Linked DNA regions of Diceros bicornis minor. The protein of the gene in region 1 interacts with the protein of each later gene in a biochemical or structural test. Links are inferred from orthologs where the notes say so. Each region holds a gene or a part of one and is shown on either strand. Other genes may lie near its edges.

What was found.
Region 2: the proteins of CEBPB (region 1) and CEBPG form a complex in vitro, tested with the Homo sapiens proteins (2 studies listed by BioGRID and IntAct, with this or other methods). The link is inferred for Diceros bicornis minor from reciprocal best matches to the Homo sapiens genes CEBPB and CEBPG.

Annotation. Positions count from the first base shown.
Region 1 is NC_080758.1:11,903,634-11,915,794, reverse strand, and holds CEBPB (CCAAT/enhancer-binding protein beta), read left to right. Parts: upstream 1-7,855; 5' UTR 7,856-8,251; coding exon 8,252-9,295; 3' UTR 9,296-9,884; downstream 9,885-12,161. UniProt on the Homo sapiens protein: Important transcription factor regulating the expression of genes involved in immune and inflammatory responses. Also plays a significant role in adipogenesis, as well as in the gluconeogenic pathway, liver regeneration, and hematopoiesis.
Region 2 is NC_080773.1:7,001,346-7,013,645, forward strand, and holds the start of CEBPG (CCAAT/enhancer-binding protein gamma), read left to right. Parts: upstream 1-7,149; 5' UTR 7,150-7,304; intron 7,305-7,634; exon of another isoform or gene 7,635-8,051; intron 8,052-12,300. UniProt on the Homo sapiens protein: Transcription factor that binds to the promoter and the enhancer regions of target genes. Binds to the enhancer element PRE-I (positive regulatory element-I) of the IL-4 gene. Binds to the promoter and the enhancer of the immunoglobulin heavy chain.

The DNA.
Region 1 (12,161 bases):
CCCTGCCCTTGCATCTGGGCTGACCAATAGAATGAGACAGAAATGGTGGTGTGCCAGTTTGGGGCTTAAGCCTAGAGAAGGCCTAAGGCTTTCACTTCTGTGCTCTGGGGAAGCCAGCTGCTGTGTGAGGAGTATGGCTACTATGCTGGGGAGACCACGTGGAAAGGCCACACAGAGAGGCCACACGGAGAGGACACCAGGAGAGACTACTTGGACCACGTGCAGGGGCCACGTGGAAAGGCCACATGTGCAGAGGCCACTTGGAGAGGCCACGTGAGGAGGAAGAAACTACCTACTGGAGGAACCGAGAACTATGCCGGCAGACACACGCTCCAGCCACCATCAGCCACTGGGCCATCCTCGCTGAGGTGCCATACATGGGAACAAAGAAGTCACCTTGGGTGTTCCAGCCAGCAGCCAGCACTGGAACAGAGACAAGCTGTCCCCTGTGTCCTGTCCAAGATTCCTGACCCACAGGGTCATGAGCAAAAAAAATGGTGGTTGTTTTAAGCCACTAAGTGTTGGGGTGTATCGTTACAGAACAACAGAGCACCCCTGGCCCGAGGCTGTCACTGCTGCCAGTTTCCTGTGTCCCTTCCAGCAGGAGACTACATCCTCAAACACACACACGAGATTTCCGTGTCTCCCTTCATTTATGTGGGAGTGTGCACCCCACACGTTTTGGCTGCACTTGGCTTTTTTCTCTTAATGATAGATCTTGGAGATGGTTCTAGATGGGTTGTGTTCCATACAGTAGTCACCAGCCACATTGAATTAAAATGGAATGAAATGAAAAATTCAGTTCCTCAGTCACACCAGCCACATCTCAAGGGCTCAATGGCCACAGGTGGCTGGTAGCTCCCATATGGCACAGCCCAGATGTAGAATATCCCCACCATCCCGGAAAGTTCTATGGGACAGCGCTGGTCTAGATCCTCCCCCCACAGAGCTGCCTCAGTCTTTCTAGCAGCTGCATGGAATTTCCCGGTAACGATGGCCACGGATGTTATCTCACAAGCTTTTGCTGTTACAGTGTCCGTTGGTCTTTGTGCAGGTGCGAGAGTCTCAGTCGTGTAAATGCCCAGCGACGGTTCCCATTTTGATAGCTATGGCCCAGTCACAGCTGGAGGCGCTCCCACTTTGCACAGCCACTACGAGTAAGAGCACCAATTTCCCCACACCTCAGCAACACTGTGTGGAACTCACAATCAAACAGATTTTCTAGCTAATGGTGAATGCTTTCAAGACAAACACCACTCCACCAGGGTACTGCTCTGCCCTGCTCTTCTCTCACGCCACAGCGTCAGTGGGCATCTTTCCATGACGTTGTATGAAGATCGACCTTGTCGTTTAAACAAAAATTGTAAAAGTCATGTAACGTAAAATTTACCATCTTAACTATTTTTTTTTTTGGTGAGGAAGATTAGCCCTGAGCTAACATCCGATGCCAATCCTCCTCTTTTTGCTGAGGAAGATTGGCCCTGGGCTAACATCCATGCCCATCTTCCTCCACTTTATATGGGATGCCGCCACAGCATGGCTTAGACAAGCGGTGCGTCAGTGCACGCCCGGGATCCGAACCTGCAAACCCCGGGCCACCAAATTGGAGCGTGCTAACTTAACCACTGTGCCACCGGACTAGGCCCCCATCTTAACTATTTTTAAGTGTCCAGTTCAGTGGCATTAAGTAACATTCATATCATTGTGCAACCATCACCACCATCCATCTCCAGAACTTTTTCTTCTTCCCAAACTGAAACTCTATACTCCTTAAACAAGTCCCCATTCCTCCCTCCCTGGCCTCTGACAATCACCATTCTACTTTCTGTCTCTTTGAGTCTACTCTAGGTGCCTCATATAAGCGCAATCATACAGTATTTATCCTTTTGTGACTGGCTCATTTCACTCAGCATAATGTCCTCAAGGTTCATAATGTCCTCAAGGTTCATAATGTCCTCAAGGTTCATCTATGTTGTAGCAGGTGTCAGAATTTCCTTCCTTTTTAAGGCTCAGTAATATTCCATTGTATGGATAGACCACACTTTGTTTATCCATTCATACACTGATGGACACTTGGGTTGTTTCCACCTTGTGGCTATTGTGAATAATGCTGCTATGAACATGGGTGTACAAATACCTCTTCCAGACTCTGTTTTCAATTCTTTTGGGTATATACCTAGAAGTGGAGTTGCTGGATCACATGGTAGTTCTATTTGCAATTTTTTGAGGACCTGCCATACTGCTTCCTATAGTGGCTGCACCATTTTACATTCCCACCAATAGTGCAAAAGGGTTCCAATTTTTCTATATCTTCACTAACATTTGTTACTTTCTGTTTTTCTTGATAGTAGCCATCCTAAGGGGTGTGAGGTGGTCTCTCATTGTGGTTTGGATTTGCATTTCCCTACTGATTAGTGGTGTTGGGATCTTTTCATGGGCTTCTTGGCCATTCATCTCTCTTCTTTGGAGAAATGTCTGTTCAAGTCCTTTGCCCATTTTTTTTTTTTTTTTTTGAGGAGATCAGCCTTGAGCTAACATCTGCCAATCCTCCTCTTTTTTTTGCTGAGGAAGACTGGCCCTGGGCTAACATCTGTGCCCATCTTCCTCCACTTTATATGGGATGCCGCCACAGCATGGCTTGCCAAGCAGGGCATCAGTGCACACCCAGGATCCAAACTGGCAAACCCCGGGCCGCCGCAGTGGAGCGCGCGCACTTAACCACTTGCGCCACCAGGCCAGTCCTATCCTTTGCCCATTTTTAATTGGGGTTTTTGTTGTTGTTGAGTTGTAGGAGTTCCTTATATATTCTGGATATTAGTCTCTTCTCAGATACCTGATTGCAAGTATTCTCTCCCATCCTCTAGGCTGCTTTGCTCTCTGTCGATCGTTCCTTTGACACACAGAAGTCTTAAACTTTGATGTAGTCCAATTTATCTATTTTGTCTTTTGTTGCCAGTTCTTGGTGTCATATACCTTGTCCCTTTAAATGGCTGCGTGGTGGTCCCTTGTGTGGCTGATCTATAACTGGATCTATCAGCAAATCCTGAAGGTTTTCCTTTCAAAACAGATTCAGAATTTGACCACCTCTCCCCGCCTCCACGCCCACCACCCTGGGGGAGTCACCATCATCTACCTGCATGACCGCGGTCCCTCCTCACGGGCTCCCTGCTTCTGCCCTTACCTCCAGCGCAGCCCACCCCTCCACGCAGACCAAGGGACCTGTTAGAACCTAAGTCAGCTCCTGTCCCTCCTCTGCTCAGAACTCTCCAAAGTCTTCAGGTTGGCACACAAAGCCCTGCATGATATGGGCCCACTATTTCTGAGATAATTTCCTGCCACTCTCCCTCTGCTCCACCCACAACTACACAGGGCTGGCCATGCTCCTCCCTCAGGGCCTTTGCACTTGCTGTTCCCCCTGCCTGCTACTCTCCCCGCAGATATCTGCATGGCCTACTCCCTCATGCATTCATGTTTTTGCTCAAATGTCACCTCAGTGAGGCCTCCCCTGACCACTATAATCTGAAGTTAAAATCAAATCCCCCAGCCCGCTCTATCCCCCTCCTCTGCTGTATTTTTCTCCATGGTACTTACTAGAATCTAACACAATGCATACTTTACTCAATTATCTTGTCTATTGTTTGTCTTCCCCAAGGGGAATGTTAGCTCCACGAGAACAGGAATCGCGCTGTCTCGTTCATGAATGTCTTGTTCTGTCTCTAGGGCCTGAACTACGATAGATGCCAAAAATTTGGGGGAATGATGAAGTGAAAGTGAGCACTTTTTTGTCTGTTTGCGGGACATTTTTATGTCTTTCAGTGGCCTGCTCGTGTCCTGTGAGCATCTCTCATATCCATAGTGCCAACCTCTGTATCACAAAGCAAGGTACCCAGTAGGTCCTCAACCAAGAGGATTCGTTTAAAGCAAGCCTGCATTCCCAGAGCCTGCCACGTGGGGGCAGCATATGCCCAGGCAAGTTTCACCAGTCAGCCCTAGCGTCTCCCAGGACGCCAGAATTCTGGATCCCAGGATATTGGGGCCTGGCAGCCCTTGGGGACCTAATCTTGGCCCCATTTAGCAGATGGGGAAAGTGAGGCCTCAAAGAAGAGGCGTGGTGGGGAAAATCCCAGACATTGGAATCAGGGGACCTGGCTTTTAAGTCCGACTCTTTTGCCAGTGGAGCACTGTGGTCTTGAGGGAAGTCCTAGCCCTCTCTGGGCCTGTCTCCCATCTGCCTGCTTGGTGAGTTTTTCATCACTTGCTGCGGTCAGGCCCTTTGTGGGGCTAAGGGGAGGTCTGATTCACTTCCATGTGTTGGGGCGGGCCAGCGGGCCCAGAGGGCCCAGAACACCCGAGAGAGGTGAGATCATTATCCTCATTTTATAGGTCAGGGCCTGAGGTCTAGGGAGGACCCCGGAGTGCCACAGCCAGGAGGGCACAGAGCTGAACAAAAGTCCACCCTGCGGTCCCCCCACTCCAGAGGCATCTCCATGGACCATCTCCAATGGTTCCCCCTTCAGCCTTATTTTTCTACTCGCTGGCTGATTTCTAATCCCCTCTGCAAACATTTTTACCACTCTCCGTCAAAGAGCAACAATGGGACTCCCTTTGAGCAAGTCACCTCGGTTTTCTCCTCCCGAAAATGGGGCTAAGGAACAGCTGCAGAGACTGGGGGAAGGAATTCTGAAAGCAGTCTGGGGCAGAGGAGGGCGGGTATCCGGGTGGGAGGGCGCCTGTTCCTCCCCAGCCCCGTCTGTCTCCTGCCCACCACTCGCAGCCACGTGGGCCCAGCCCACGGCTTCTGGTTTTAAAAGAGAAGCTGGAAATTTGAATTTTGATGTGAAGTCTCCCGATTTTTAAATGTTGGCAATAAAATCATTAAAAAGAAAAAAAAAAGCAAAACACCATGGGGTTGTACTGAACCCGTCTGTGGGTTGGATTTGGCTGCTGGCTGCCAGTTTGCGACCCTTCCCTGAACAGGTTCCTACAAACACCTACGCCGACGGTAGCTGGGAGAGGTCATCGTGGGTGGCGGCGGGCGGATCCTGGTTTCTGGGCTCCGCTGCCTGCAGGCCACCAGGGTGTGCTCTGGCCTCTGGGCCACAGGAGCTCAGCCTCCATCCATCACCCCTCCTCGGGGCAAGGCCGAGCGTTCGTGCTGGGGCGGCAGGCAGGGCCTGTTGAGCAACGAGCCTTGGAAAAACAAGGGCTTACGTCACCGTGCACGCTGCCTCCCCGCAGGACACCTGGGGTGGCAGCAGGTGGGAACCGCCAGAGTCCTCGTCAGGCCGATGGCGACTCCTGGGCAGGGAAGGGGGGAGCAAAGCCTCAGTGTCTGGCGGGTGAGGACCACCCTAGAGGCTGGGGGGCCGCGTCTGGTCCTTGGGGCTCGCCCCCAGGGTCTGGGTTGCCCCTTGACTCACTGTGTGACCCAGGCCATGCTTCTCTGGACCTCGTTTTTCCATTCAGAAAATGGGGTTCACACCGCCAGACCTGTTATGACTTGTTACAAACCCAGAGGGGAAGGTCAGGCTGGAAAGACTTCAGTCCTCCCCACACCTTTAAGGGTGTGGGGCAGGCACCCTTAGCCCAGCTGGGCCTCAGTTTCCTCATCTGTAAAGTGGAGATAATAACAGGACCTGCTTTCCACAAATTATCAGGAGGATTAAATGAGTCAATACATGCAAGGAGCTTAAAATGTGGTTCAGAGACAGTGGAAGATTGGCTTGAGGACACACAGCAAATCCTCCAATAAGCTCCAGACCCCCCACCGTCAGATCTCTGCATCTCCCCAGAACCCTGAGAGGTGAGGGGTACTGAGGCTCAGAGAGGGGAGCCATCTTGCCTGAGGTCACACAGCCCAGCTAACAGGGGAACCTCACCTTCTTCTCAACCTCCTCCATTCATTGAGGACCCTCTGTATGCCAGGCACTGTTCCAGGCACCAGGGGAACAGCAGTGAACAAAACAACAAAAATCCCTGCCTGGAGGGTCTGCCGTGGGGAGGGGGCAACAGGGACAGAAAGCAAGACGGATAGGTGAGATAACTTTGATCGTAATGAGAATGTGAAGGAAATAAAGCAGGGGGGTGTGGAAGGAATGACTGAGGGCCTGGGACTTTTGATGGGGAGGTCAGGGAGGGCTTCCTGGAGGAGGGAACCTTTGGGCTGAGCCCTGAGGAGCTGCCGTGGGCAGAGGTGGGGGAACAGTGTTCTCGGTCCAGAGGGAACAGCAAATGCCTTCATTCACTGGTAAATTCTGGGCACGCCCGGCCCAGGAGTTCCAGTATTTGAGGGCCCGTCCTCACGGAGCGAGCAGTCTGTGGGGAGACTGAGGCAGACAAGACGACTAGGATAATGGTAGCAGCGATACGGCTGGGAAGGAAGTTCACTGCAGATGGGGCAGGGAGGGCCTCTGGGAGGCGGTGTCCCTCCAGCTCAGCCCTGAATGTCCCACTTTGCAGCTTGGAAGGTCTGGCTGGGTGGCCCTGGGGCCTTGGATCCCTCCTTGGCCCAGAGGCTGCTGGGAGGGTGCAGAAAGCCAGCAGGCCAGGACAGTGGTTCATCCGTCCCTCCCTGCCTCCCACCCCCAAGGGCGCTAGGAGCGGTCATTTCTCCAGCTCTCCGGGGCGGAGGTCACCCCTACTCAGCAGATAACGCCAAAGGTTGAGCAATGCCCGCCTGCCAGCCAGGGCCAGGGCTGGGGTCAGTGGGCCGGGGGTCAGCCCCAGGCTGGCTGGGAGCTCCTGCCTGGGCGGCCTGGGCCGGGAGTGGCAGAGGGGGGCCCAAGGAGCTGCCCAAATGGCCCAGGAATGGGGCCCGAGAGGGAGAGCATACTTTCAAGTCCAGGAAGGCTCATCGCCCATTGCCCACCTGTGAACCTGGGGCAGCAAAGCCCCCTCCTGGCAGGGTGAAAAGTGAGCCCCGGAGCTAGGCCCACCCTCGACGCACAGTAGGGAGTGGGTAAAAATGGGGGCACTCCCTTATCTCTCCTGTGTGGCCCCCTCCCCACCAGCCTCAGAAACAGGAGTTTCGGCCTGGCGTTGGCAAATAGGTCTTAGGGTGTCCGGGCAAGTGCCTTTCTTTGAGACGAATGGGGGACATGAGGCCATGTGACCTCGGGGGTGCTGTGCCCCCTCTGGGCCTCTCTGTACCCTCTGGGGGGCCCTTCTTTCTGCCGTGCCTCCCAGTAGAGTTAAAACTTCAGCCTTATGTTTGGGAGTCTGCGGAGGAGACTAATACAACTGATAACAGTAAGGACACCTGCGTGGACATACGCGCAGAGAAGTGACTAGCCCGCGCTCACACCGTGTGGCAGAGCGGAGCACCCCGGGCCCCAGGTCAGAGCGGGGTGGGGCTGCACAAGACCCAGGTGTGCCCTAAAGGGGCGGGCAGGTGCGGTGGGCGGGGCTAGGGGAAGGGCGCGAACTACGTGGGCAGAGGCCCCAGTGCGTCCCTAACCGGCCCCCCCACCCCTTCTCCTATGCAGGTGGCTTTAAGAGGGAAGTCGCCGCAGGCGTGGAATCCCCTCCCTCCAGGAGCCGGAGCTGGGGTTGGAGTGTCCAGGATCCGGCGTGGGGAGCGCCCCCTCTGCGGGGCGTCGGGGCTGGGCGCCGCCGATCCTGAAGCCAGCGCCTCGTCCAGCAGAGGGCGGGCGGCGGCCGCGTTTGGGGTCGGGGAAAGCGATCGCGTCGCCCCCTCCCCGGATTCTCCGCCCTTCCAGGACAGCCTCCAGCCCAGAGGGGGCGGTCCGGGGGCGGGGTCGCGCCTCCTCTTCTCGCTCCCAATCCCGGGGCCGCCGGGTGGGGGGGCCGGGGGCGTGAGGCCGCCCCCCGGGGCCCGGGGACCCCCGAGGGCGCGTTCCCGGGCTCAGGTCCGGCCGCCGCGCCCCGCCGCCTCTCTCCCGGGGTCTCGGGCGGCCACGGCCGCGGCCTCCCCGTCCCGGCGGCGGCGGGAGGGACCGGGGCGTCAGCCAGGCGTGACGCAGCCGTTACCATGGTCCGCCTTTATAAATAACCGGGCTCTGGAGAAACTTTAGCGAGTCAGAGCCGCGCACGGGACCGGGAAGGGGACCCACTCGAGGGTCCAGCCGCCAGCCCCCGCACTAATAGCGGCCACCCCGGCGGCAGCGGTAGCGGCAGCGGCAGCGGCAGCGGCAGCAGAGACACCGCGGCGACATCGGAGCCGGGAGGCCGCGCCACCTGCGGCCCGGCCGGAGCGGGCAGCCCCAGGCCCCCTCCCCGGGCACCCGCGTTCATGCAACGCCTGGTGGCCTGGGACCCAGCATGTCTCCCCCTGCCGCCGCCGCCTGCCTTTAAATCCATGGAAGTGGCCAACTTCTACTACGAGGCGGACTGCTTGGCTGCTGCGTACGGCGGCAAGGCGGCCCCCGTGGCGCCCCCCGCGGCCAGACCCGGGCCGCGCCCCCCCGCCGGCGAGCTGGGTAGCATCGGCGACCACGAGCGCGCCATCGACTTCAGCCCGTACCTGGAGACGCTGGGCGCGCCGCAGGCCCCGGCGCCGGCCACGGCCACGGACACCTTCGAGGCGGCTCCGCCCGCGCCCGCCCCCGCGCCCGCCTCCTCCGGGCAGCACCACGACTTCCTCTCCGACCTCTTCTCCGACGACTACGGGGGCAAGAACTGCAAGAAGGCGGCCGAGTACGGCTACGTGAGCCTGGGCCGCCTGGGGGCCGCCAAGGGCGCGCTGCACCCCGGCTGCTTCGCGCCCCTGCACCCGCCGCCCCCGCCGCCGCCGCCGCCGCCGCCCGCCGAGCTCAAGGCGGAGCCGGGCTTCGAGCCCGCGGACTGCAAGCGGAAGGAGGAGGCCGGAGCGCCGGGCGGCGGCGCCGCAGGCATGGCGGCGGGCTTTCCGTACGCGCTGCGCGCCTACCTCGGCTACCAGGCGGTGCCGAGCGGCAGCAGCGGCAGCCTGTCCACGTCCTCGTCGTCCAGCCCGCCCGGCACGCCGAGCCCCGCCGACGCCAAGGCGCCCCCGGCCGCCTGCTACGCGGGGGCGGCGCCCGCGCCCTCGCAGGTCAAGAGCAAGGCCAAGAAGGCGGTCGACAAGCACAGCGACGAGTACAAGATCCGGCGCGAGCGCAACAACATCGCGGTGCGCAAGAGCCGCGACAAGGCCAAGATGCGCAACCTGGAGACGCAGCACAAGGTCCTGGAGCTCACGGCCGAGAACGAGCGGCTGCAGAAGAAGGTGGAGCAGCTGTCGCGCGAGCTCAGCACCCTGCGGAACTTGTTCAAGCAGCTGCCCGAGCCCCTGCTCGCCTCCTCCGGCCACTGCTAGCGCGGCCCCCGCGCGCGTCCCCCTGCCGGCCGGCCCCCGCGCTGCCGGGACTCCGGGCGGCGCCCCGGCCCTGGTGGCGCCGGCGGAACTTGGGCACTGGGGCGCTTGGCGGCGCGGGGAGCTCGTCGGTAACTTTAATATTTTATTATATATATATCTATATTTTTGTCCAAACCAGCCGCACGCGCAGAGGGCGCGCCCGCCCGCGGTGTTATTTAAAGAAGAAATGTCTATGTGTACAGATGAATGACGAACTCTGCCTGTCCCTCTGCCCCTCTCCAGGCGCCGGCGGGCGGGCCGGTGTCGAAGTTGATGCAATCGGCTTAAACATGGCTGAACGCGTGTGTACACGGGACTGACGCAACCCACGTGTAACTGTCAGCCGGGCCCGGAGTAATCGCTTAAATATGTTCCTGCGGGGTTGTTGCTGTTGCTGTTGTTTTTATTGTTGTTGTTGTTGTTTTTTGGTCTTTTTTTTTTGTATTATAAAAAATAATCTATTTCTATGAGAAAAGAGGCGTCTGTATATTTGGGAATCTTTTCCGTTTCAAGCATTAAGAACACTTTTAATAAACTTTTTTTTTTTTTTTGAGAATGGTTAAAAAGCCTTTTGGGGGCAGTAGTTGGCTTTTGATTTTTTTTCTTTGTTTTGGATTGATACGGTTTTATTTTTGCTTTTCTGGTGTGTCGGGGGTTGCTGTGTGTGTGCGTGGGCTGCTATTATTTTTGGCTTTTTTGGGGGTTGGGTGGGGGTGTTACAGCTGGTTTTTCTCCTCCTCTGCTGCTCTCCGCCCCGGGTCTGTGCTTGGAGATGGGGGTACCAGGTCTGGGGGGGAGGGGCAGAGGAGTGCTGGGTCAGGCTTACGCGGTGACTCAGCGCCCCGGGGTGCTGGGGAGGAGAGCCTGGGAACCTTGCTTGGGGAGGGGTCGGGGACCTCTGGCTGGTCCTGAGTGCCAGGCTCGGGTTTAGGGGGGCCTGGAGGTCTGTGACCTCTGCACGGTGTTTGGGGAGCAGTCAGGCAGGCCGGGTTATGTAGGAGGAGGGGTACAGGTCTTGGTCCTGCTGAGCCCAGGTTGGAGAAGATTCTTTGGGTAAGTGTAGTGGGGCGGGCTGTTTAAAAACTACTTTGCGTGTGTGTATATATTTTAAGAGAGGAGGCTGGGTGCGTGGGCGAGCTTGTGTGTGTGTGTGTCCCTGGCTGGTGTGTGTGTCCCTGGCCGGCGGGAGGGAAGAAGCTGGGCCGGGTGGAGGGAGGTGGAGGAAGGGTGCTCCCTTTCCTTGGGACCCGACATTTACCACTTGTCCTCTCTCCAGATGTGGACACGAGGCCCGGCCTCGCCTGCTTGCTCAAGGTGGCTGAGCTCAGATTTGAGCCCGGGGCCACTGTCCCTGAGTCCCTGGGACAGAAACGGCTCGGGGTAAGGCTTTTGCTTCCCTGCCCCCCATACGCTCCCGCGCCCCCGCGCTGCACCCCCACCCCCGTCCCAGCCCCGGACAGCATTCCTGAGAGTCGAGGATGTCGACGGGGGTTGGAGGGGTTGGTGGATCCCCGGCCGGCGGCCGCGGTGCCTGGCACGCAGGAGGTGTTATATAAGCCTTTGCTCTTGTTATTATTTTTCCCTGGGAGTCAGCCCAGTACCCGCGACAGCACATGGGCTCAGCCGCCCCTCGGATTTACCTGCTGGAGGGCAGGGGCTGGGCGCCGGACCTGGGGAAGGGGGCGACTCAGTCTTTCTGGGGGGCGCGGAGGGTCACAGCAGAGGAAGGAATCTCTCCGGTCCCGCTCTCCCCTTTGTCACGGAGAGTGGCCTCGTGGCTGCCGCTCACCCATTTTGCAGAAGACACAAAGGAGCTGAGCGGGGAGCAGCCAGGCCGAAGCCGAAGAGCGACCCCCACGCGCCCCTTTCCTGGCGCTGCCTCGGAGCCAGCCTTGAGTGCCGCTCTTTACACACTCACAGCCTGCTTGAATCGACGTAAGCGCCTCGTGGAGGGTGTTACACCCATTTCACAAAAGTAAACTGAGCCCACAGAAGTGGGGTTAGTGCCCAGGGTGGAACGGGGTGGAGCGGGTTAGGGAGCTGAGTCCGCCTCCCGAGTCTCCCGGGAAAGCTGGGGGCCGGGAGTCTGGTTTGTAACCCCAGCCCCTGCCCCCAGTCCTGCGCCGTGCGCGGGGGCTCCTTGCCCAGCCCCAAGTTCAGGCGCCCCCAGCGCCAGAGTTAAGTGACTTGCGCCCTGTTTCCCAATTTGGAAGCAACAGAAAGGGGATTTGAACCCAAGCCCATCTGATGGCCCCTGAAAAAGGCTGGGAAAAATGGTTAATAGGTCGAGGGCTCTCGTGGTGGCCTGGGTTGCCTGGTATGGGAGCACTGTGGACGGAGCTGTGCCCAAAGACATGGGGAGATGTCATAGATTGGGGGACACCCACCCCACGGATCTGTAGGCTAGGAGGGCTAAAGGCTTGCGAGGAGGGGGGACCAGACCATTCAGAAGTTGGGAGGGTAGGAGGGGGCAAAGGGGCACTAGAGGGGCCCAGGAGGCCAGAGACGCACCTGGAGGAAGAGGAACAATAGTGGATGCGAGTTCAGTGCTTATGACATGCAAAGAAAGCCCCACTCCGAGGCCTTGGCACAGACGGACCTGCTCGATCCTTCCGTCCGCCCCAGAAGGCTGGTCGTGTTAACCGCAGGCCCATTTAGTGGGTTGACCACTGAGGCTGGCTGGGAACCCCAGGCCATGTTTGCTCAGGATGGGCGAGTTGTGAGAAGACGTTCACACCGCATGGTCTTATGCAGTGGCCCATGGCCTGGTGATTTTACCAAAAGGGAAAGTGGGTGTCAGAAATGAAAGCTGGAGACACTGGGCCGG
Region 2 (12,300 bases), on another chromosome or scaffold:
TAAAGGAAATGCACTATTTTGGCTCTCAAGTTTGCCCAGGCCTTCCCACCAGTGGATGCCGTTGGGTCTCTCCAACAGTAATAGGACAGATCTCCACCCTCCATCACCAAGTATTTCTCAGCCAGCTCCTGGGCACCCACCGTGATGTACCGCATCACTAACATCCCCCCATCAAAGCCTCTTGAGGGCAGGTCCCTCAGCACAGCCTCTACTTCAGCTTCTTCTTCACAAAGTTGATGCCCATATGCCAAGGGATCTGATTTTTGATGTTTACAAAAACACAAATCCCTGAGGCATCAGAGCAGTGCTGCATTCATTCCATTTCCCACTGGGAAATGTCACTGTCGTCAGAAGTCACATAGAACAGCGCTTGTCTCTCCAAATCCCAGCTTTTTCCTCAGAAACTTGTGCAAAGAAAAAGAAAACAACAAACTCCACCTTTCTCGTCCAGCCCCAAACCCAACATTTATGTGCATGGATGCTGGTGGCTCCACCCACCAAGCCCAAGAAATCTGAATTCCAGTTTAGGCTCACACAAGAACTGCTTATTACTATAGGAATCTGAAAGAAAAATAAAATGAGAACAGAAGAAACAATGACAAAGGCCTAGAAATGGACACAGATTCCTGACTCCAAGCCAAGGAATTGTGGCCCACAGGCCCACCCAGCCTGGTTGTGTTTCCTCGGCCTGTTCTCATCTGTTGGGCCCCAGCCCCCTGCCTCTCCAGCCCCAGTGCCTTGCTCCCTAGGACTGCCAGAACTTGGGACAGTGCCTGGTGCAGAGTAGAGACTCAATAAACATCAGTTGATTGAGACAGAGGAAAAAGAATGCAAGAATGAGTAAGTGGGACAACAACATCCCTCTGTCTGGGGAGCTTCCCATCTCCTTCTCACCTCAGCCTTGCGGCTTCCAGCGATTGACCTGGCATCTAGACCTTAACGTGAGGATGGGGCTTCCTCCATAGCCCAAAGATGGCTCTCCGGGCTTCTGGATCATCCTGCAGCCCCAAAGTGGTCTCCCTCCGCCGCTGCTTCCCTCTTCCCCACTCTTCTCTCCTCCTGGGGGAGCTCCTGTAGTTCTGCTCCCCTCTCTGGCTCCGTTTCTCTGGACGTCTTGGGTCCGCCTGGCGGAAGCACATTTACCACCAGTGGTCAAGGTAAGAAGTGGGGCTCAAGGCTCTTCTGCTGGGCTCAACTTCTTTACTGAGTTGGCTCAAGTCTGGGCTTACTCTGATTTGTTAATGCTTTAAAGTGTCCTGTTTTAAGTGAATGTTAACACTGCAGTGCACCTCAAATGCTTTTTTTCCTAAATAGACTTCATTTTTAGAACAATTTTAGATTTGCAAAATATTGAGAAGATAGTGCTGAGATTTCCCATTTACCCTGCACCCAATTTCCCCTATTATTATCTTACATTAGTATATTTGTTACAATTAATGAGCCAATATTTATACATTATCAAATAAATTAAATAAAGTCTATACTTTATTTGATTTTTTTTAGTTTCTACCCAATGTCCTTTCTCTGTTCCAGGATCCCATCCAGGATACCACATTACATGTAGTCATCACATCCCTTAGGATTCTCCAGACCGTCACATTTCCTCTGACTTTCTTTGTTTTTGATGACCTTGACAGTTTTGAGGAATACTGGTCAGGTATTTTGTAGAATGCCCTTCTAGTGGAATTTGTCTGGTGTTTGTCTCATTTGACTGGGGTTTTGAGTTCTTGGAAGGAAGATCAAAGAGGTCAAGTGACATTTTCATCTTATTATGTCAACATGGTTTATGACTATTGAAATTGACCTTGATCACCTGGCTGTAGTAAGTAGCATTTATCAGGTTTCTCCACTGTACAGTTCCTCTTTATTTTTCCCTTTCATGCTCTGCTCTTCAGAAGGAAGTCACCATGTGCAGCCTACACTTAAGGAGTGGAGAGTTACGCTCCTCCATCTGAGGGTGGAGTATCTACATAGATTATTTGGAATTCTTCTACATGGGAGAGTTGTCTCTTCTCCGACATTTATTTATTTACTCAATCATTTATTTATATCAACATGGACTCAGGGATATTTATTTTATACTTTGGATTATGATGCAATACTACATTATTTATTTTGCCCCTCAAATTGGCGTGGGGGCTCTTTGGGTGCTGGGGGCTCTTTCATTTGGGTCCTGTGACTCTTTGACATCCTATAATGGACTGAATGTTTGTGCCCCCCCTACATTCCTATGTTGAAGGAATCACTAATCCCAAGTATGATGGTATTTAGAAATGGGGCCTTTGGGAGGGAATTAGGGTTAGATGAGTTCCTGAAGGCCCTCTTTTGATGGGATTAGTGCCCTTATAAGACGAGACACCAGACAGCTTGCTCTCTCTCTCTCCCCGCATGCGCACTAACAGGTCACATGAGCACACAGGGAGATGGCGGCTGCCTACAAACCAAGAGAAGAGGCCTCAGAATAAAATCTACCTTGCTTGCTTCTTGATCTTGGACTTGTCAGCCTTCTATTGGAATTTGTCTGGTGTTTGTCTCATTTGATTGGGGTTTTGAGTTCTTGGGAGGAAGATCAAAGAGGGTGAATGCTATTTTCTGTGGTTTAAGCCACCTAGTCTATGATACTTTGTTATAGCAGCCTGACCTAAGGCACATACCACCATTGTTTTGCTTTTTGAGTACTTCCTTACTTTCTGGTACTGCAAGATGCTCCAGGCTTATCCTGTATATTTCCTGCCTCAATCCTAGAATCAGCCATTTCTCCAAGGAGCTCAGTTCCTTTTATTAAAGAATGGTATTAGAAACTAAGAACGGGGACCTAGGTAACAAATTCTCTTTGGATGGACAAACTATTTTGTGCCTCCTACGTGCTAGGCACTATGCGATCTTCTTTTCATGTCAACTTACTTAATCCTCGTAACAATTCTATGAGGTATTTACTGTCAACCCTCTCTACAGATGAGGAACAGGTTAAACCTAGGTTGGCTAGGTTAAATGCTAGCCAACATCACCCTGTTCTGTCTCCAAAGCCCATCATACTGCCATGATGGAGACTGGTGTCACATATATCACAAATATACAAACCAAAAAAACCCCACCTCATTTATCTTTGGTTTGGTACTTCATAGGCACTGGAATAATTTGCATTACAATAACTATGTAACAGGTAATTAGTGCTTATTCTGTGGAGTGAAGATATGTGATAATAAGACCCTCTTGGGCCCACAAAAGATCCAGATTACCTCTCTTGATGTGCACAGATGTCACCCCCTCTCTTATGTGCACAGATGACGAATACCTATCATTATATGCCCAGGCGACAGGCACCTAGCCTCATGTGCACAGATGCATGTAGCTCTCCTCATGTGTGTGGATGATCTGCACTGTCTTCATATAATCACATGGTACACATCTATCCTTGTGCACACAGATGACAAGTACGATTCTTAAGTGCACAGATGACATGTCTTAACTCACAGGCTAACAAAATCTGACACATGGAAAAATGCTTTATGATAGACATTCACAGTATTTGCTAACTGTTCAAGTTTAAGCTATGTCAGATTTTTCTCTTCATGCATAGGACCTGCTTTTGAAATTTGGAAATGTCCTAAGACAACTATTTAGCATCTTAGCTGTTATGATTCCAAATAGTGCTTCTAAAGGTAAAATTGGAGGTTTAAATTTTCCCCTCAAGATAGGGATCATATCACGTGGGAAAGAACAAATCAGTCAGCCAGGGTGACTAAGGATCCATTAGAGTGACCAGTGTGATCTGACATTTGAAATGGATATTAATGGATTCGTCTGCTCAGCACTCTCTTTTCCTCTGGGAAGTGCCTCTGCCATCCCCTCCGTAGCTGCCATGTTAGTACATCGTGATTTGTTCCCGGTTATTTGATCATTCCGGGTATGAGCACACTGCTCAGCTGGGCCAATCCCAGAGTCCTTGCCTAAGGATTTTTGTAACAAGAACTTAGAAAGGGATTTAGTTGGCCTTTCTCTAGTGACCAAAGCTGTGAACATTGAGGATGTCATTGGCCATGTGAAGAAAGAAGCAAGCAGAAAGAATAATGAAACCAATAGGCATGTGCACACACACATACACACACAGAGACAGAGAGACAGAGACAGACATGAAGACATTTGAGCATTTCAGGTCTTGGTTCTGATGTGGCCTGGTACTTCATGAAGAGTGTCCTATAACCTTTGACCATGTCCTTCTTTACGCTAAGGCTAGTCAGGGATGGTTTTCAGTTACTTCCAATCAAAAGAACCCTAAGCAATGCAGAATGATTGACAATCACTGTCACATTATTGCTAATATAACACAATCAATATCTACTGAGATTCAAACCTGTGACAGACATCATCTCAATTCTCAAAATATTATAGACATGGTCCAGATCTCCTGTCAAAGGTGGTTAATTTGGTATACTAATTTTTCAGAAACTTTCCAAATACACATTTATGCTAGATACCTAAGTATTATCATTAAGTACTTAAGGCACATTTAAGACAAATACTTGTTTGCATAGTAACTGTCTATTGATCTGGCTTTCAAACAAGAGATTTCAAATTATTAAATTTTTCCTCCATTCTACTTTATAGAAACAAATGAAATGATAAGATGTGGCAACTAAAAGAACTATTCTAAAAAACATCTTTTGGGATACACCAAAGGGTCAGCATCAACACCCTCAATATTGTGTATATTTCAGTGCCTGAATCATCAAAGCAATGTTAAGCACCCTGTTTTGAAGTTCATTTTAGTCTACTACAATTCTATGGATATAATTTGTTTATAATTCACATATGAGCATCATGGTATTAACAGCTAACACTTTGCTCCTACCATGGACCAGGCAGGCATTGTTCTAGGAGCCTAACATATTAACTCCTTTAATCCTCACAGCAATCCTATTAGGTAGATACTGTTGTTATCCCCATTCACAGTTGACTCAGAGGTCAAGTAATTTGTTTGAGGTCACACAACCAGTAAGAGGTGAAGCTGTGGACAGAATAGCCTGACACTAGAGTCCATACCTCTTAGGTAACTAAGGTCGTTAATCATAGTAGCTGTCAGGTCACTAGCATGTTCAGTTAATAGGACATCCTACTTCTCAAGTCATTTGGAGGGGATTTTAATGTACTACTTGTTTACAAATTCTTTGGATTTGTAGAATATGTATTGGGTATCAGTGAGGCAGAGATCTCTGCAGGAAATTTTTCTTTTATTATGATGGCTTGGGTCCCTGTGACTTACAAGAAAGCAATATGGTGGATCTCCTCAACCTGGAGATAGCCTCCACCAGACTCTCCTCACTTCTTTATGGGGAGAGCAAGTTAAGAGATGGCTTTCCATCTCTCTTATGGTAAAAATCAGAACGCTTCTAGGCCCTGCCTATCTCACAGTCTAACGGGGACACCGTGGTTCAGTCACTCTGGCCTTACATTTCTCCCATCACAAGACCTTTAGATAAGACATTCCCTCTGACTGGCACATCCACTTCGTCTGTGCCACGGAGCCAAACTCCACTCATCTTTTAGGCCTTCCCTGACCCATAGACCAGGTTTTGATCCCGTTTTATAATCTCTCACAGCACTGTGTACGTCTTTCTTGTAGTATCTATGAAAATGGTTATAGAAAATTGTGTCATTACTGAATGTCTGCTTCCCTTGGCTCTAAGTGTAAGCTCCATGTGGGCAGGGACTGTGTTTGTTGTGTTCATTGCTGAATCCCCAGCACTTGGCCCACAGCTAGCACATAGTTGGCACCAAATAAATATTTGTAAACTGAGAAGAAAGAATTACCAGCTACCAGTTGAAGAGGAAATAAACACTCTAGTCTCCTTGGCATTGGCTAGACTTGCTGAGTGTGGAAGGCGGCCTGTCCAGATAGACACAGAAAATGCTAGAGCAGCTTGGCAGAGTGGCTAGCAAACTAGAGGATAAATGAATATACCAATATGATTTTTTTCCATACAATTTTTAAGAGATTAGAAAATAGTGAGGGTAAAATTATGATTTTGTGAGCAACAAAATATAATCCAACTTTAATAGTGCTAAAATCTTGATCAAAGAAATTTCAGCTAAGAACACTGAGGGCCAAAGTGAAAGAAACATGCTGCTTTTGATGATATTGTGTCACTCCAGCAAGTGTGCTTCTATGGTCATCGTGGTTCACTTTTAGTTGCAGCCCTTTTTATTTTTACTTTATTTTTTGCAAATGTTTTATCATCTCTTTATGATTCCTCGAAACAGTCCTATGCAGAGAGCTGGTGCCATGGCCTGGGCGATGAAGAAACGTTTCCTCTTTCAAAGACTCTATTTTTTGGACAACAGGAGTTGCTCAAGAGGAAGCAATCAAACCTATCGCCGGCTCTGTCCTCTACCCAGCACACTGCTTCCTGGTTTTAAAGCGCTTTCAGATCCGCCTGTGAATTATCTTGGATAAATAAAGCGGGATTGCCATTCATTTTTGGAGATCACATCTCAATCTGGAAGACAGCACAGGGGAATCGATCATGGAAATTCCATTCGTTTCCCCGTTTCAGCGAACCACAGTCCGCAGTGTCCGCCAACGTGACATCAATACTACGTTGGGAAGATTTTGCTTCGTTCGTTTTTTAACAAGTTTGCAGTTGCCTTAACGGCTGTGAGGTCCAGGCCTTCTCTGCAGGCTCCCTCCGAGGGCGCGGGCCCGTTGGGTGCCCCACGTCCCGGGAAACTGTCCCCGTGAGGACGCCGAGGGGGCTCCCCGAGGCCGTGGGGAAACCAAAACAGAAACCGCTGATTCAAAACACCACCTCAGGAAATGGTGCTTTCCAAAGACAGGTGTTGCCTCCAACGTTGACAGACCCTTTCTCGCCGCGGGTCTCCACAGCTCCGGGCCGCAGCCCCGCTCCAACGGCGCAGGAACCCCGGGCGGCGCCGAGGCAGACCGTCACCTCCCGCCACATCCGCCCACTCCGCTGCGCCGTGGTGGACGCCTCCGCCACGTGCCCGCCTCCCGCAGCCAGACCGCTCCCGATTGGCTGGCGGCGCTGCCTGTCGCGAGGGGCGGGCGCGTCGCCTGCAGGCCGGCGCTCCCATTGGTCCTTGACGCGGCGGCGGCAGCGCGCGCGGCCCCGGCGAGGAGGGGAAGCCGGTGGCGGCGGCGGCGGAACGGGCGGAGGCTGCCGGTTTCGTAACCGTCGCTTGTCCTCGGTGACTCGCAGGCTACTAGGCCTGGCTCGGGTTGGGCCGCGGCGCGCGGGGCCGCTCGGAGTGGAGGCCGCCTGGGGGCGGGCGGGCTGGAGGCGCAGGTAAGGAGGTCGAGGGCGGGCGGGCGAGCTGACGGGGAGGAGGAGGCCGCGGCGGAGCCGGCCGCTTGCGTGCGCTTGGGCCTGGCCCGAGGAGACCCGGCCCGGCCCGAGGGGGCCGGCCCCGCGCGGCGTCTGATGCAACCTGCCGGCAACACCCGGCGGGGCCGCTGAGCTCATCCCTGGCCGCGGCCCAGCGCCGCCGCGCCGCCCGCCGACCCCCGCGCTCCCCGGGCGCCCCTCGCTGCCGGCCCGGACGGGAGGGAGTCGAGGTGTGCCCCTCCGGAAGTCGGCCCTGCGTGCCGTCCGGCTGTGACGGGGCTCGTATTGGCCTCTGGGGATAAAGGGTGTTCCCAGAATAGCAGAAGGGGGACCGTATCCCACTTGAGTGGCACGTAGGATAGATCCTGCCCCCACGAAGCTGCTCGATGCGGGCTGGTGGGGGATTGTGTTCAGAAGGTACTAGAAGGAGCAAGTAGTGAGGGGAAGAAGTTGCTTTTTAAATACAAGACTTTACAGAAATAATAATATGCTTTCTTCTGGGGCTGTAATTTGAATATCCTGCAATTCACTGTTGAACTTAGGATAGATGAACGTGCAGCACCCACGGGTGAATGGGAAACAGGAGGGCGAGAGATGCAGCGCCTCGTTAGCACGGTTGGAGGGAACACGGGAGAATAGCTCGCAGAGGTGTCTAGATGGAGAGGATGCACATGCGTGTTTGGGGGGAAGGATAGAATGTTCCTACAGGTAAGCTTGTATGTTTCTGTTCTACGGAAGGTTTAAGTATGTGGTTTGCCTCCTGAGGTTTCTGCTGGAATCTGGCATCTTAAAATGTGTCACTTCGAGAAAGATTTTAACATTGGTGGGTTGCACAAAAATTGGTAGTTCTTCCTCGGAGCCCACACTCAGTCGGTCCTACGCTCTGTCAAATCGTTATTTGAAGAGATTGTCTTTTAATTCAGATAGGATATGTAACTCCGAGAGAAATTTTGGCAATAAAATACTATAAGGGCTTGCTTTACTAAGAAATTCTGCATCTAAAAGTTCTTGATACTTAAAAGTTAAAATCTGGTCAGCTGTTACCCTTCGAGTAGTATTTGGGATAAGCTCTTCTGAAAGTTGATTCTCTGTTTCTGGAAAAACTTACGGTAAACAAGGTTAAATAGTTACAGGATGCTAGTGAGCTGAAGAATTTTTCAGTTTCTTGATTCCTGCTTCTGGTGGCTGCACTTAGCTGATTCAGTCCTTTTTAATATCCCTAAAAACATAGGTGGAAACAAAACTTCATTTTTCAGATTATGCTTTAAATTCTCAAGAGTACATCATGACTGTTAGCGAGGTTGTCTGATCATGGACAGGTGGTTTCATCCCAAGAGATTTAAACAGCAAGTGATGAGTCCCTGGTAAAGACAAATAGGACCTCATGGGGCTGAATATGGTCTTATGGCCTAAGCTTGCCTCACCTGATCACAGTAATGGTAAATGCAGGAAGTCACAATTCCAGGTTTATTGTGTATTTTGGGGAGGAGGTGCTTCTGTGGGTTCTCGTACTGGTAGGTACATTGATCTTCTACCTTTTTGGCTTTCCAGCCCTGTCAGTAAAAAAAAATAAAAATAAAAATGAAAATTGACCATGACCGCCTACTGTATATTTATAAACAATGTGTGTGTATTATTTTTTTTGTATGTTATAAATCACACCAAAAGTAGAAAGATGACATTAAAAAAAGCTGAATGTACATTTTTTTCTCCTACTCCAGTGGACCACTTAATGTATTCCCTGAAGGGATGTACCCTCCTTCATGGACCCCTGTTTTGGGTCATGAAGCAAGCAGTGGCAACTGAATAGAAATCCTGCTCGTTTGGGTGTCTGTTGACTTTGCTTACCTTGACTTCACTTGTAGTACAGAGTTGGCAGATCCTGCCATACATGCCTAAGAACTTGAGGTTATTAATTGGAGAACATAACTGGGCTAAGTAGAAAATAAAGGTTCTAAACTGAAATGAAGCAAAGACCAGACACGAATGATGTTCACTGTACAGACTAGGGACTTAATAGCAAATAGAACTTATTTTTATTTTTCTGTACACTTTTAAGAAAGACCAAAAACTTTAGGTAGCAAGACCATAATATCTTAGTAACACTCTTTTGATTTAATTGCGGTTGTTTTAAGAGATTTCAATGCTAGAGAGTCTCATTTTTATATGACATTTATAAAAATAAATGTTTTCTCTTAGGCTTTTGAGCCTGTATTCAGCAAATATTTGTTGAGCACCACTATATACACCTAGCTCTGCACTAGATGCTGGGCATGTGGCGAAGACGAGAGTCCTGCCTCCAGCTTAGTCTACAGGGAGATACACTGTAGAGCTGGCATTGACAAAGAAACTGGGGACAGAAGAAAATTGGACAGAAGCACAAAGAAAACAGAAAGCACAGACCATTTAGGGGACTGATAATGGTTTAGTATCATTGAGGTGTGAAGTATAAGGGAGCAGAGGCTAGAGAGAGGTTAACACCTTGGATTTGATCCTCTATGCCTGAGCCACAGAAGACTTTTCAGCAAGAGGTTGTGACACACTCAGGTTTGAGTGCTAGATTGCTCTGGAGACAGTGGTTGGAGGGAACACTGCTAAACCAGAGGAGACTAGTGCCCCTGAGAGATGATGTCAGCCTGAGGTAATTCTGTGGCAGTGGGATGGAGAGGGATGGTGGATGTTTTTTTTGGGGGGGGGGGGAAGGTGGGTAGAATTGTCAGATACTAATGATTGAACAGATTTGGAGCAAGGGAGAAACATCTATGAATATTTTGGAATGTAGATCTTCACTGAGGAAATTAGAGTGAAAAATTTATTTTGGGGGGCTGGGGGAAGAATATCTGTACATATGTGAAAAAAGTAAAGAGGGTTAGGAAAATTCTTGACAGGTTTATTATCTCAAATGAAATTTGAGAAAAATTTGATTTTGTTTTACTCATTCTAACATTCTGAGTTTTCAGTGTGTTCTTGATTTGCATGAACATTACTCAGATTAAGAAATTTGAATTAAAAAAAATGTTACCCACTCAGGCCTTCTTTCTTAAGATCCATTGTTAATGTGTAGCAGTGGTGCCCAAACTTCAGTGTCATCAGAATCACTTGGAGGTCCCATTAAAACAAGATTGCTTAGCCCTGTTCCTAGAGCTCCTCATTCCTAGGTCTGGGCCAGCCTGAGAATTTGCACTTCAAACAAGTTCCCAAATGATGCTGCTGCTGGTCCAGGGACCACACTTTGAGAACTACTGCTCTTCAGTTTTTCTACTGCTTCCTGCTTGAATGATTCACATGCAAGGAAACAGGGTGCCACCCTGCTTCCTGTGGACTGAACTTTGGAATAGTATTTGTCCCCATAGTAGCCAGACTTTCATTTAGGGTTGAATACACAGATTTGAAATAAACTTATTTTTTTGCTCACTGGAGGTGCTCAATAAATGTTTGTGGAAGGAACAGAAGCACAAATGACAGTGTAAACTGTACAATGTGTAACTTTTGGAGGCAACTATTTGCTCAGTGTAAAAACCAAATTGATAATCCATGTGGAGTTAAGTCTTTTAGGCGACTTAGCTTCTTGACCCCCTGTACTTGCTTCATGTTCCTTTATGGCTATCTCTTCACTTTAAGAGCTACTTTCTTGGCTTGTCTTTGGTTGAAGAACTTTTTTTTTTTTTTTTTTAAACATTTTTATTATCTGTAAGTTTATTATCTCCAAGAGTATTTTGTATTATCTGCAAGTCCCCTTATATTTTTACCAGTTTGATGAGTACTCTTTATTTTTCAAGCCAGAGGGCTCATTTTCGAAACCTCGCCTACTATATTCAGCCTAGTACCTTGGCAAGATGAGTCAGACTGAGGTAAAAGAGCCCTTCCGTATTCCTGTGTCTTTGGGTACAAAAACAGGCATGCATATCACTGAATTTGGGGACTGTCATATGAGATTTTAGTGACTGAAGTTCATGGTGTATTGTCCAAGTCAGAAGGCCTCTTACCAGTCAGCAGCCCTCATTTGCAGATGAGGAGATGGAGGCCCACAGAAGGGAAGGGATGTGTCCAAAGTGAAAGAGGGCAAGCCAGAGCCAAGACAAGGATTGACCTAGTTCCTGTTCTGTGCTTCTCTGGATCTTTGTTATCTCTGAGTTGACTGTAGAGATTAGCTTTAAAGACTAAAAACATAATTGGTATATGAAAAATAAGATAAATAAGATGAATATGATCATGATTGTTGAGACGATCCCAGGAGAGGTATTAAATTAAACAAGTTCTTAAAAATTGGGTAAAACACTCATCTTCACTTTACACCAAATAGATAAGCAATAATGTAGATGGCCACCAACATTATTAGTAGTAAGGGTGGTTCAAATTAATACTGAACTGCCACTTTTTAACTGGAAGGAAAAATAGGCAACAGAATAAATGATCAAGAGAAATTGTGAAATGTCCATTACTGAAGATAGATAGACTTGGAGTGGATCTCCATCACAGTTTGCAAGGAAGCTTTCTGTCTTGCCTCAGTACTGGAGTGAGCACAGACGACCCACTAGAGCTCAGGGCTGCCTGCATGGCTTTAAAACCAATTGAAAGTAATGATATATGCACTTTTTAAAGCATTTTATAAAAGCAGACCAATAAACAGTGTTTATACAGAAATGCCTGGCTAAAGGTTTGGGTGAAGCTACTAGTGTTTATTAACTGAGCTTTTCTTAAGAAATGTGAGATATACTCATTTGAGGCATTTCAGCTCCAGGTTTTTTCCACTGATGTAGTTTTAGCAGTTTTGTGAAAAGAGAACAGAATAGTTTTATGGTTCATAACACTGCTTTCTAAATTTCCAAGAGTGCTATGACTTCTTGGTAGACATGGTTCACTCATTGTAGTCAGTATGTCCTGAAGTGGCCTCGTGATTATAGGATAGATATGCTTTTGACACATCTTGAGGCAATTGTAGCGACCTAGTTGGATT